Linked DNA regions of Pelodiscus sinensis. The protein of the gene in region 2 interacts with the protein of the main gene of each other region in a biochemical or structural test. Links are inferred from orthologs where the notes say so. Each region holds a gene or a part of one and is shown on either strand. Other genes may lie near its edges.

Region 1 (3,916 bases), on a different chromosome or scaffold from region 2:
TTTTCCTCTGACAAGTGACTAGTTAAAATGAGACCTTTCTCCAGAGATCTGCTATTTGTGCACACTCAGCCACAGAGCTTCTCGCTTCAGCGAGCCATTTACGTGGTAATACATTCTGGTCCCGTTAACCTTTCAGAGCCAAAACAGGAGAGCGAGAACGGCATCGCACCCCTCCTCGTGCACCAACGGTGCACTGAATTCTATATACAGGGCCAACCCGTCACACTTGCACAAAATGGTGCCAAGGCAACGGGAATCCACGGAGGGCCACTGAGGTCACACTCGGAAGATAATCAGGGTGCCCCGTTATTAAACGCGCACCGATCCGTAAATAGAAGCGAGTAAGCCAAATCTTGGCCCGCCACTTCCGAAAGGTTGGCGCCCCGGATCTAGCCGGTACTCGGTCCTGTGGCGAGGCCAGGGGACCGGACTCGTCCTCTCGAGGTCCCATCCCAGTGCGCTAGGATCCTGGGCTGTGCTGGTCTCTTCCTCCTGCCCCTCCTGGGCATTTGTCAGGGTGGTTCTCTCGCCCAACAGGGCGAGGCTGGCAGGGGGCGGCGGAGGCCAGGGCCCCTCCCCACGCTGACAGGGCGTGGAGGCTGCGCCCAGCCCGTGCCCTCGGCCGTTTCTGGGGAACCTCAGGCGCCCCCCGCCTGTCGGCGGCAGGGCAGCGCGGGAACGGAGGATGCCGCAGTGTGCGGCACTGCAGCGCTGCCTGAGGCAACGCTGGGAAGGGGGAGGGGCGAGCAGGCGCGTCGGGGGCGCTCTCCGCTGAGGCGGGGCAGCGAACGTTGGCGGGGGGGAGGGGAGGAGCAGGCGCTCACTGCCCAAGGGCCGCCGGAGACGTTTTCCCGCCAGCCCACTCGGCGCGCGCGCCCCCGGCGAGCCAGCGCGCGCGAGGCGCAAGACGTCCCTGGGGGCGGGGGAGGCAGCGCGTGACCCGGCGCGCGCGCGCGCGCGCGCTTGCGGACAACCTGGGGCACCGCCCACACCCCGCGTTCGGGCGGCCGCCGCTAGGGCACGCTGGCGCTGTGATTGGCCCGCGCGGCGGCTCCTGCCCCCCCGCTTTGTGCGGCCGGGGCCCGTTGAGAGTGGGAGGGGAAACCCCGCGCACGGGGCGCCGCCATCTTGGATAAGGGGAGGGGGATGGGGCCGCAGTAGAGCCGTCAGAGCCGAGCCTGTGGGAGCCCCGGCGAGAGGCAGAGACCCAGCCCAGCCGCCGCCGCAGAGCCGCACAGCGCCCCGGGCTGCCACCGACACAGCCAAGCTGCACAGCCACCAGCTCCCCGAGCCCAGGTGAGGAGGAAGCGGCGGCGCCGCCTCCACAGCGCCGGGCCCACAGAGCCTCCCCCGCCCCGGCCGGGCATCCTCGGGGCGCCCGCGGCATCCCTCCCCGGGGGGCCAGTCGGGCCCGCAGCGGGGCCTAGCCCGGCACCCAGGCCGCGCCGGCTCCCGCTCCCCGGCCGGGCCCTGGCTGCGAGGCCCGAGCTGGAGGCAGCCGGCAGCCCCGCCCGTGAGACCCAAGCGGAGGGAAACGAGCCGGAGCCCTCGGGGCTGGGCCTGCCGGGTAGGACAGGGCCGGAGCGAGGCCTCCGCCGCGCTGCTGCTGGGGCCTCCGCCTCCTCTGCGCGGCTGCCCCCTCGCTCTGCCCTGCTGGAGGCGCGCCGTGTGCCCCGGCATTGCTCGTGTGGCGGGGTCCGCACGGGACGGGGGGCGTGCTCGCCAAGTTCACTGCTGTCTCTGGTTTCCATCCTTCCAATGCCGGTGGCGTGACACTAGTCCCAAGTATCGATAGCGCTTGAGGAAGGGTCACCTGCCCTCTAAATAGCGACCGAGATGTAGCCGTGTTAGTCTGGGGTAGCTGAAGCAAAATGCAGGACAATGTAGCACTTTAAAGACTAACAAGATGGTTTATTAGGTGATGAGCTTGCGTGGGCCAGACCCACTTCCTCAGATCAAATAGTGGAAGAAAATAGTCACAACCATCTATACCAAAGGATACAATCTTAAAAAAAAAAAGTGAACACATATGAAAAGGACAAATCACATTTCAGAACAAATCTTTGTCTGAGAGGCCTCCCCTCCCCCCAGCAATGCTCTTGTACATTACATTGTGTCTAGAGGTGGTAGAAGAAAATGGATTTAAAAAAAACCCTGGTTATGGTTTTGTGTCTCTGGTCTGTTTGACCATTACACTTCTGAATTGCCTTTTAGTGGTGGTATTGTGGAGGGCTTATTTTGGAAGCAACTTTGTGAAAACCATTTCACTGGTTTCATCAGTGCTCCAAGCATGGGAAGTTGTTAATCAGGTTCTGTCTACAGTGTTATTGCTTTCGAGTTCCTACTGTTATGGCCTTTTTTTTTTCTTCTCTTGCTGCTCAGTTTCTTTATTAGTCTTAAATTCAGTGGCTACAGGAAGGGTGAATGGTCCATAAGTATAAGTACAAGATCTTATGTTGGATTTTGAACTGATTTTCCCCAGTAAGAAAATGGCATTTGTCTAGGCTCAAAGTTTTGGGATTACCTGTTAAATTTTGTTTGTTGGGTTTTGAACTAGAAACTGTTTCTCTATTGGATGTAACTTTGTGTATTTTGTGTATTATGTTAACTGAAATATTTTGAATAAAAACTTCTAGAGACTCTAGCCCAAAAAAGTAAACACTTGAATTATAGACCCAACCAGCACTAAACTGTTAGGCAATTTTACAAACATAAGTCAGAGTCTCTGTCCCAGGGGAGTTGTTATATAAAGGTATAACTGCATATGAGTTATAGGTAAGCTACTGATTCCTGTGAAGGATTGGGAAACCACTTAAATCAGAGCTATGGTAAAACACTCCACTCTCAGGGTTTTTTTATTTATTATTGAGAGCCTTGAAATTAGGGACATATGGTTAGTTTGCCATGAATGAAGCAGTCATTAAAGGAAAACATGGAGTATTTAATATGTTAAAATTGGAGGTTTTGAAATATGTTTATAACCCTAGCTATCCTTAAGTTTATTTCCATGCTTCAATGTATCCAGTGGGCCCTTAAGACTTCTGGTAGTTCAGGAAGGTGTGAGGAGAGAAATATGCACTTTCCCTACTGATCAAGAATGTGTTGTATCCAGCTGATGACTTACACAGCCCAGTAATTTATTGCTAGAGAACTGTAGCTAACTTTCTTTCAGTCTAGTTATTACCAAAACTTTGTAGTGTGTAATTTGCCAATTCATATTTAGCTTTCAATAGATAGATATCTATGGTAGAATGTGGCTCTGCTGCTAAAGAAACAGTGAAGTCAATGTCTCATATCCAGTTGATTGAAGTAGAAGAAACTTGTATATTTCAGAAAGCTACAATTTAGCAGCCTCCTTGAAGTGGTGGTATTGGGGAGTTCTGAATAAAATAATACGGTTAAACTCTTTTCCTTGAACAAAAAAATAACCAACAACAAAAAACTGAAGATAAAATTCAGGTTAGAAACCAACATTGAGAGGTTAAGTGACTTGTCTCATACCTTGGACATTCTCTGGTTTTGATTGAGTAGTCATACCTATTATAAGTGCAAGGTGAAGTTTCATTACTATTGAGACTTCTGTACAGACTTTCAATATACCTCAAATTTGCTTGGTTGTGGTGTCCAACTTTGTTTAAGGGGTTGTGGGGTTTCTTAATTGTCACTTTGTATCAAATATGTTCCATTTAAGTGTTGTTCACTTTTCCTCACTGCTACCTGTAGTCTCAGCCTGGGTTCTTGCTACATTATGCATCATATATGCATATTAAGGTCCTATGAGCCGACTTTGTCTTCAGTGACATCTGTAAGTGTACCTCAGAGCCATTGCATTGGTTGCAAATGTATAACTTGTAGCAAGAAGGATGAACACTAGTTGCTATGGCTCTGCAGTGCTAACAGGGTAAAAACTATTGAA
Region 2 (3,916 bases):
GTCCACAGCAAGCCTGGGCTTGCAAGCTTGATCACAGAGGCCTGCAGCAGCAGCCCCTGTCTGCAGGGAGCTCAAACCCCATGAACAGGGGCTACTGCCACCTCATGCTGTTACCAATGTATCAGAGGCAGCAGCGCAGGGCAGCAGGCAGCCGGCCTGTGCAGTGAGGGGCTGGTTTTTAAACTGTCTTCCCTTGTGGACTGGCTCCTGCCTGCCATCTTCTGCTGATATAGAAGCAGCAGCATGGGGTGACAGAGGGCTCACTGGCTGCTGGCCCTGCCCTTGGGGACAATTGAATAGTTGTGTAATCACTAAGATTTCATGCAGTTACACGATTATTCAATTACGCAATACATTCCTATTTTTCCGTTTACTGTGCAATTGAGAGCACTATCAGTATTCATGTTCACTGTACCCCACCCTCTAGTTGGTTCTCTCTGTGTACACTAAAACGGAAGGGAAGTTACATAAAAAAGCTAAATATGAATGTTTGTCTTTTAGGTAGGACTTGAACTGTGTTAGATCAGCCTGCCAGGGGACAGAGCTTTCAGTAAGTACAATAGACTATGACACTTCAGGGTCACCTCAGAATCTGATACCTCAATATAGAAATCCTAGATAGAGAGGTGAGCCCTCTTAGAGAATGTAGATAGAGACTTCATGTCCTGCCTTTATCCCCTATGCCTGGGACTATTTTGTCTCTTTTAAATTAATGTTGCATTTAATCTGCAATGTTGGAAGATTTCCAGTTCTTCTGATTTTGTCTGGTAATTTTTGGAAGATTGACAAGAAACACTAGCTAATAGATGCAGCAGTAAACACTACAGAGAAAGTGACATCCTGACCCTACTGAAATCACTGGCAAAACTCCCTTAGACTTCAGTGGAGCAAAGATTATACAGGCAGTCCCCGAGTTACGCGGATCCGACTTATGTCGGATCCGCAGTTACGAACAGGGATTTTCTCGCTCCGGAGGACTGGAGCGGCGGGACGCCTGGTCCCGCCGCCTGCCTCCTCCGGGGCGAGAAAAGCTGCTCCCCGTCTCCCTGGTCTGCTGGGGGAACCAGCAGACCAGGGAGACGGGGAGCAAAGCGGCGGAGGACCCGGGCCGGACCCACGGCGCTGATCTGGAAGCGCCGCGGGTCCGGCCCGGGTCCTCCGCCACTTTGCTCAGCGTCTCCCTGGTCTGTAGACCAGAGAGACGCTGAGCAAAGCCACGGAGGACCTGGGCCGGACCGCGGCGCTGATCTGGAAGCGCCGCGGTCCGGCCCGGGTCCTCCGCCGCTTTGCTCCGCGTCTCCCTGGTCTGCTGGAGGGGGGGGGGACGCAGCTAGTGCCCCTCCCCAGCAGACCAGGGAGACGTGGAGCAAAGCCCGGGGCCTGTGGTAGAGCAGGTGGGGCGCTGCCGGTTGATCCCGCAGCACCGCTCCTTGGCGCTACTGGACCAACCCGGCAGCATCCCAGCTGCTCTGCCCCAGGCGTCCCCAAGTCAGCCGCTGCTGAAACTGACCAGCGGCTGACTACAGGAAGCCCGAGGCAGAGTTGCTCTGCCCCGGGCTTCCTGGAATCAGCTGCTGATCAGTTTCAGCAGCAGCTGACTTGAGGACGCCTGGGGTTCTTAAGTTGAATCTGTATGTAAGTCGGAACTGGTGTCCAGATTCAGCTGCTCTTGAAACTGATCAGTTTCAGCAGCGGCTGAATCTGGATGCCAGTTCCGACTTACATACAGATTCAACTTAAGAACAAACCTACAGTCCCTATCTTGTATGTAACCTGGGGACTGCCTGTACTTATTAAGCAGATTTAAGTTCTGCAAGGACATCCATAAATGTTTGCTAATAAACTATTCAGTTTTTATTAATATTTTTCTAAAATATACATAATTTTAATATATTATTATTAGATTTTTACATCTCTTATTTTATAATTGCTTCATGATGTTTCAATACTGTGTGAATGAGGGAGACAGATTAATGTGATTCGAAAGCAATATATATAGTTTCCTTGTTCTAGTCAGCCCAGCTGTAAGTAAAGAAAGAGACCATACTAGACACTGTTGCGGTCATGCTACATGTAAGCTGAACTTTTCTGGGTAAGTTAGAAAGAAAAATGTATAAAATAAAAAGCCATCCTCCCAAAAATATCAAAAGGTTATGTTTTCCCTGAGCATGTAAAAGTTCGCTGAGATTTGTTCTCTGGGTTCAAAAGTACTTTGCATAAATCATTACAGTATCCACAGGGGATAGGTTTTTTTAAATAAATGCAAAGTAATAATGCATCTCTGACACTTGCAGATTATAACTAACTTATTTGTACACAGTACAAGGAAGTTTACTGAATAAACATAATCATACTTGTTTTTGTTGTGTTGTCATTGCTGACTGGTTTGGGTACGAGTCCTATCAAAGCTGCAGACTTCAGAGCGTTGCCATAGCTCACTGCTAAGTTTTCTGAAGCTTTCTTGGCCAGTGAAAAGATGGGAGCAGACCATCCCGATTCTTCAACAGCTTTTTCTTTCACCTCGTTTTTCAACTCAGTTACATTAGGAATCAGGTTTCTGTCAATTATTTCAAAATCTTCTTTCTGTTTCACAGCAGATGCATTGCAACTCTCTCCTTCAGCCATCTTTAAAATGTCATATGACACTAGTCATGAGCAATCGAGTTAAGCAGAAACTCCCTGCTCTGTAGGTGATAGGAGTTGTTTCATGACAAAAGTGCTGTGCGTGGTTACACAACAACCAGTCGCATGAGCAAAAGTGTCAGATACTAAACATCCTGATTGTGATATGCTCCAAATTATAGCCACAGCTAGTATATTTTCTGGTTACTGATTATCACAACAAATGATACTCTGTTAGATATTGTATAGTGAATGTCCTTTTATATTATTACAATTCTTATTTGTAGCTTTCTGAAAAACCCAATGCAGCCTCTGTACTTCTACACAATATTTTAAGTTAGCATTTTCCCAGAGTATATGAAGTCACAGATTTTGCAGCATTTAAAAAACACATTGAGTCTTTTGAGACTGGATTGTCTTTTCTAAAACGGGACCATCATAACCTAGAAAAGAGTATTGAAAGAAATTACTATATATTATGAAGAGTTTGTTTGTGGATTTGTTTGTGCAAAATAAAGTCATATCCCGATTACCTACAGATACCAAAATTTACATAAACAATCCTGCCACTGAAATGATCTGAATGCACTACTTTTTACACTGGAATATGATGGGTGAAAGGTTTAAATCAGTGTTATTCAAATGGCAAACCGCACCAATGGGGGTACGTCTGCACTGCAACACTATTTTGAAATAAATGGTGCTATTCTGAAATATCTTAGTCCGCGTCTACTCAGCAGGCAGTTATTTCAATAGTGTCAAAATACTGTCAAGCTTGAGGACTTTTTACTCTGACTCCTGTAACCCTCATTGTATGAGGAATAAGGGAAGTCATTAGAAAAGTACTCAAGTTAAGCCTTGCAGTGTAGACATACTCTGGGAGCCGTGAGGCTCTGTAGCTGTGGAGCTAATAAATACACAAACTGGAGCAGCCTGGTATCAGCTTTCTCAGAGTGGGTTCACAGACCACTTTGAGAAACACTGGTTTAAATAGTAATTTTTGGTTTTCATTGGAAAAAAGTCATGACTATTATTATTAGAGTCTATAAAAAATATTTGCTAACAAAATTAAAATCGAGTCGCCTATTCAACTGTCATTTTAGTGCAAAGAAAATTTTTATTGTTACAAATCACAACATAATTCAGATTAGTTATGGAAAGAGTAATGGAAGCTGTATAAGTTTCTGATTCAAATTTACTATGTGTAGTGATTATTCAAGAAAATGAATAATGTTTGAAGTTGAAATCCTACAAATTCAAAACTATTATGTTACTTCCCTTTTGTAAGTACATT

Evidence for each region.
Region 1: the proteins of RUFY1 (region 2) and RAB14 form a complex in vitro, tested with the Homo sapiens proteins (2 studies listed by BioGRID). The link is inferred for Pelodiscus sinensis from reciprocal best matches to the Homo sapiens genes RUFY1 and RAB14.

Annotation. Positions count from the first base shown.
Region 1 is NC_134732.1:21,461,826-21,465,741, forward strand, and holds the start of RAB14 (ras-related protein Rab-14), read left to right. Parts: upstream 1-1,156; 5' UTR 1,157-1,296; intron 1,297-3,916.
Region 2 is NC_134727.1:34,046,029-34,049,944, reverse strand, and holds the start of RUFY1 (RUN and FYVE domain-containing protein 1), read right to left. Parts: upstream 2,654-3,916; 5' UTR 2,626-2,653; coding exon 2,355-2,625; intron 551-2,354; exon of another isoform or gene 502-550; intron 1-501. UniProt on the Homo sapiens protein: Activating adapter involved in cargo sorting from early/recycling endosomes. Regulates retrieval of proteins from endosomes to the trans-Golgi network through interaction with the dynein-dynactin complex.